2 linked regions of the Kluyveromyces lactis genome follow. The protein of the gene in region 1 purifies or fractionates together with the protein of each later gene. This does not show direct contact. Links are inferred from orthologs where the notes say so. Each region holds a gene or a part of one and is shown on either strand. Other genes may lie near its edges.

What was found. Proteins that work in one complex are often made in the same cells at the same time.
Region 2: the proteins of RPS20 (region 1) and BRE5 purify together in Saccharomyces cerevisiae (affinity purification with mass spectrometry; 3 studies listed by BioGRID). This does not show direct contact. The link is inferred for Kluyveromyces lactis from reciprocal best matches to the Saccharomyces cerevisiae genes RPS20 and BRE5.

The regions. Positions count from the first base shown.
Region 1 is NC_006042.1:2,371,112-2,373,615, reverse strand, and holds RPS20 (40S ribosomal protein uS10), read right to left. Parts: upstream 897-2,504; coding exon 543-896; downstream 1-542. Other genes in the region: KLLA0_F25520g (URC4/urg3 family protein), read left to right, coding at 1,461-2,504. UniProt on the Saccharomyces cerevisiae protein: Component of the ribosome, a large ribonucleoprotein complex responsible for the synthesis of proteins in the cell.
Region 2 is NC_006039.1:1,666,724-1,670,163, forward strand, and holds BRE5 (Bre5p), read right to left. Parts: upstream 2,073-3,440; coding exon 591-2,072; downstream 1-590. Other genes in the region: OCA4 (Oca4p), read right to left, coding at 1-178; CCR4-NOT core DEDD family RNase subunit POP2, read right to left, coding at 2,924-3,440. UniProt on the Saccharomyces cerevisiae protein: Has a role in de-ubiquitination. In conjunction with UBP3, cleaves ubiquitin, leading to the subsequent mono-ubiquitination of sec23.

The DNA of each region.
Region 1 (2,504 bases):
AGTCTCTGCTTCGAGTTGTCAGCTTGAATGCCTTGCTTTGAAGTCCCATGATTAAAATCATATTCCATTAAAAAAATATGTACGAATTATACACAAAGGATGGAGGGCACTAACACATGACAACAAAAAAGTTACTCATTCAAGCAACCAATAAACCAGACAGTAACCAAACAAATATGAGTGAGATGTTGGTAGAGGATATGATTATTTTTTAACCACTGATAGTAGAATAGAGGTACACGATAAACTACCCTACCTAGAGTGGGTTGTCATTTTTTGAAGTGTCAGAAAAAGGTTCCATCCTATATTGAACACAATTGACCATACTTTATAGGAGTCTTACTATAATCTTAGAGAATGAGGATACAAGAGCTTTCTTGAGACCTGGATATCGAATAAAAGTAAAATAAAAAAATTTGAATTCAAGGTATGTCGGTAGAAAACTCAAAGGATGTGCAGTAAATCTGGTCAACACTTTAGTTTCCTGCCCGTTATTCATTGAATGCCAATTTGATATTGACAATACATCATTATCGGTGCGTTTAGGCAGCGATGATGACTTCGACATCCACACCAGGTTCAATGGTGATTTGGGTGATTCTCTTGACGATGTGAGCTGGAGCTTCCAAGTCGATGTATCTCTTGTGGATTCTCATTTCGTAAGTATCCCAAGTCTTAGAACCTTCACCGTTAGGGGTCTTTCTGGTGGAGATCTTCAAGACCTTAGTAGGTAATCTGACTGGACCCTTCTTGACCAACTTGAAAGTTTCAGCATTCTTGATGATGTTGGCAGAAACGTTTTCCAATTGCTTGACCTTAGTGGAGGTCAAGTTAATTCTGATCTTGTGGATCACAACTTCTTGTTGTTGTTCAGATTTCTTTTCAACTTGAGACATCGTGTATACCTTTTAGTTTTATTGGTTTCTTATGACATGAATAGACTTAATATCTAATTGTAAGTAACCTTAACAATACCATGCTAATGCTCATCTATCTTGGAGAGCTTAGAATTTCAACTTCGGAGCACTAGCTTGTCGACATCATAGAACATCATGAAATTTTCATATAGTATTCTGTTTTAGGAAAGAGAGGATGATTATATCAAAAAAGTAGAATCCCATGGCATATATGTACGGGTGTATAAAGAATGAGCAGTCCCCGGTAATATCCGTCGGAGGTGCGACGGAGATTCTTGAACATTAAGGATCAATCGTTGCCAGAATAACGAAACAGGTCAATTGCAAAAGATAAGAATGCCTTTTTTGTGCAAACTAACGTTCCAATACACTTAGGATTGAATTAAGGATAATGTATGTGTACCATCCACGAAGTATATAAATACACTCATTAGTGAATGAAATAGTTCTATCCCAGTTGATACTTCGCTTAAACTAATTCTGATGGCATTGTATATTATCTCCCGTTGAAACTGTCAAAAACCAACATACTGGCTATTTATCATGACACACACAGAATGCGAAGACTTGGAGTACTTAAGATCCATTCAATCCGTTAGGGAAACTTGTAAGAAAGTATACGGCCCCCCTTTGCAAACAGAAAATGGTGACAGTACACATTTTGAAGTGGATCTGGGTAAAATGTCGAAAGTGACAGATTACTTGGTCAATATTATTGAAAGAGATTACAAGAACCTAGGCGATATTCCTGTTCATGGAAGATGGCAACATTTAAACTGTAACGGTATTGATAGAATGGGATCTCTCATTAATTCCTGGGCTGCCCAGAACATCGATCCTTTGGAGGTATGCAGACGGTTGATTGATTTGATAACGTTTAGTGTGATTGTCGATGCTGGTGCAGGTTCAGAATGGTCTTTTGTTGAGAAAGAAACTAAGATTAACAGATCAGAAGGACTAGCGGTGGCCTCTTTCTATATGTTCAAAGATGGTGCCTTATCGCATGATAAATCTCAGACAGTACAAGGTTCTAGATTGAAAGACTTCAGTCAACAAGATTTTGATAAAGGGTTTCAGATAAGTAGTAAGAACTCTTTGCAAGGTTACGAAGGTAGAATTCAGTTGATCAGAAGTTTAGGGAAATCCCTTTCTGAAAGACCTGAGTTATTCGGTGAAGATGCCAGGCCTGGTAATATAATTGATCACCTTTACAAATTAAATGGCTCTGAAAACATTGATTTGCAACAGTTGTGGGAGGTTCTAATGACTGGATATACCTCTATATGGCCTACTGGAAGATTAACTCTGAACGGTGAACCTTTAGGCGATTGCTGGGTGTATAAAACCGAAAACGATGAAATTATCGTGTCATTTCATAAATTGACGCAGTGGTTATGTTATTCATTATTGAGACCACTAGAGGAATTTGGCTACAAGTTCAATATATCTTCCAAGGACTTGCAAACAGGTCTACCAGAGTACAGAAACGGGGGGTTGTTCTACGATTTGGGTGTACTATCTTTGAAAGAAGAATATTTGAACATTGGATTGACTAATTCGAAGAAGTATGGATATGATCCGTCAATC
Region 2 (3,440 bases), on another chromosome or scaffold:
AATCTATGCCGTTAGTGGCGAAGAACTCTTTGAAGAAATTACTCGGGATTTGACCACCGATGAATATGATCGTATTTAAATTCAAAGTCTCCAAAAATGATAGGTTAATGGTCTCAAGTTTACTGCATCGATAGATACCTTCCTCGGGAATCCCGAAATTCGCTGGAGGAACTAACATAGCTGATGGTTTCTATGACCCTAGAGTTGTATCTCCTCACCTGTCCCCTTGGCTTCAGCACTGATCTTTCTGCCAATCACCTTTTCTATCATTGTGATGTGCACATGAAGATCTTTGTTCCTTTAAATTTCATCAAGCTCGAACCAACTTCAAAGGGTTGTGACTTAGAGAAAGAAGGAACAAAAAGGGAAGACAACAATAATGTTTCGGTGATATGCTTATAGTGAGAGGGAAATATATAAAATGTACATGTGGATAGGTTACATACGGATATATTTAACAAGTTTTCCCCGACTCATAGTTTCATCGTTTTAGTTAATTTTTTTTATGGTTTTTTTTTTTATAATATGGTTTTATCACGCCTTTCATTTAGGTTTGAGATGATTTGGGTTTACGATTAAAGTACATGAGATTAGTTCTTTGATTTGTCATTACGGGATTTCACTGAGCTCTTTTTAAGCGTGGAATTACCTTGGTTTAACGAGAGTTCTGGTGATGGGGAATTATGTGAACTGTTGCCGTTTGTGTTGTGATTAGTGTTACCAGAATTACTATTACTATTGTTGCTGTTGTTCTTGGCTTTGTACTTAGAAGCTTTATCGCCCTTTGGGTTTAAATTAATAACTCTTTCACCGACTTTTAAATGTTGAGCATCGATGGCAGCGTCTCTTGCAGGTTTTTCTCTGAAATCAACCACAGCGAACGAATCTTGGAATGAGGTTTTTACGACATCACCGTATTCTTTTATTAGAGCTCTTTCAAGTTCGGATGCGGTCAACCCATTTGTGTTACCCACGTATACTGGGTAGAAACCGCTGCTGTTTTGGATGATAACGTCGCCTATTGGTTTCGATTGCTGCTTGCTTTTCTTGTTTGACTTGGTGAATCCGTTTGGAGGTGGACTTTTAGACTTCTTTTGTGGAAGATCTACCTTGATGTAGTTTGTAGTTAGTTTAGATGTCTTGTTGAGTTTGCCTGCCCAAGTCATTTTCACTGGTTCAGCCTTTGGGGTGACTTCTGTTTCAGGAACCTCTTGTGGGGGCACCGATTCAGAACGGGTTGTCGTTGAGGTTGGGGTGGCTGATGCTGAAGTCGCTTGCTCTTTTGGTTGTGCTTGTGCTTCGTCTTCCTTGTCTTCTTTTTCTTTTTCTGCAATAGCAGCAGGAGCAGTAGCTGGCGCAATCGCCTCATTTTCCTTAGGTTTAGTTTTATTTACTGAAACGGCTTGGGGTTGTTCCACTTTTGTTTCCGTTGGAGCAGTAGAGGGCTGTTGCTTCTCAGTTGGAATTGGCTTGACAATCTCAACCGGTTTCGCTGCTGCCTTTACCACTACTGGAGAAACAGATACAGGAACAGAAACAGGAGCTGCGTCCCCGTTGACATTTGGCTTCTCATTCTCAGCTTCAACAACAACAGCAGATGGTGGTGATACTGGCTGGTCTGGGTTCACTAATGGAGCAAGGTCAGGAATGAAACGAATGATATCGTTTTTCAAATCGTAGACTTTACTGTTATACTCTGCTGGTTCCAGGATAAAGCACTGACAAAATCTGTAAGATGGTGAATCCGTCCAGCATAGCTCCCCTAATATCAATATCAGAATCGAAGAACTCTCGTACCCAGTAGATTGCACATCACACGAATCAATCTTGACCTTCAAATCCTGTACACGCTTGCTGTTTCTGGTAAAGAAATTGTTGATGTTATCCTTACCAATCAACTTGACGGTGTTTAAATAATCTTTGTCATGCTTGATAGGTTCATTATAATTCACATGGGTCAATTCCGCCGTGGTAGAATATAAACACGACAATTTCGATGGATCATTATGCATACGTTCATAGTACGTCCTTAGGAACGCATATCCGATCTCTTTCACATCGTAAGTGGTCATATTTTCCAAACCAAATGTGATTGTATCAAATTAATCTAAACAGGAAAAAACACACTGGTTCTTGTAAAAGAATTCAACTATTCTTTGATAACTCTCAATTTCAAACCGATCGCGGGTATCAAAAAATCAAATTGGAATGCTAAAGTGTATGAAATGAATGCAATACAGTCAATCGTTGTCAATCAGAAAGACCTTTGAATGAATTAAAAATAAAACTGTCAAACAAAAAAAAAAAAAAGAAGGGAAAAGCACGCTCTAATAACGCTCTAACAACGTTTTAATCCAAGTGTATTAACGGTGGATATTCAAGCAGGAAAGTATAGGGTATACTAGAATACAATAACAAAAAAGTATTAATTTCCTATGGGTGCTTTTTTCCAGACTCACGGGAAATTTCAGCACTACGAACACCGTATATGTGCCTCACGCTTCAAACTTATCGCTAAAGATTAAAGTCTGGTTTCTAATGAATGCATGAAAACCGATAAGCGAACCAAATAGACACCCTAACAACAAGAAACGCCCCTCACAAGCAAAGTATGTGCATGTTTGCATCTAGTGATTATATGTAAAGAGTCAATTTTCAAAATTTTTTAATGGAAAACTCGTCAATCATCTTATGAAATCATGCCTCACGAGATGCCAGGTGAATGAAGTACACAGGTTGCGCTCTTGCAACCTGTGGGTTTCGCACTGGTCAGCATCAGTTCAGTTCAGTGACGGTGGCTAGTCAGCCACCTTTTATACCCTATTTTAAGAATGATTGTGTATGTATATATATATATTCACATACATAAATGCATTATTGATGATACTCTATATGAAAGGCTGGCACATAAAAATCACATATATTACTCCTGTGTGATTCCGTAGATCAGGTTCTTGTAGTAACTGAAATCTGTTCCATTGCGTAGTTTGTACAAAGACAATTTACCGAGTTGGGTGTATGCCAATAGTGCCAAGAGACTTTGTCCCGCTGCGCTGCTGAACAATGGGAAGATCGGAATCCCCAACTCGTCAGCCAGTAGTTCTAGTGTATATTGCTGTTGTTGGTTTTGTTGCTGTTGCTGTTGACTTTGTAATAGATGTAATGGTGGTGGATGTGGGTGTTGTTGCGTTACCTCATGAACTAACTTGTTAATTAGGTTCAAATCGTACGACGTTGGTATGTATTTCTGAACCCACCATTCGAAGTCCTCTTTGTTGTTGGGCATGTTTGTGTTCATGAGCCTGTTGATTAAGAACCCGTAATCGTATGCTGCATGGTAACTGATCCACGTGACCTCATCGTTCAACAATAACCCGGAATCCATCATCAACTGAGCAAACTCGTCGAAATCAACACCGTTCTGTTGATGTCTCTCCAAG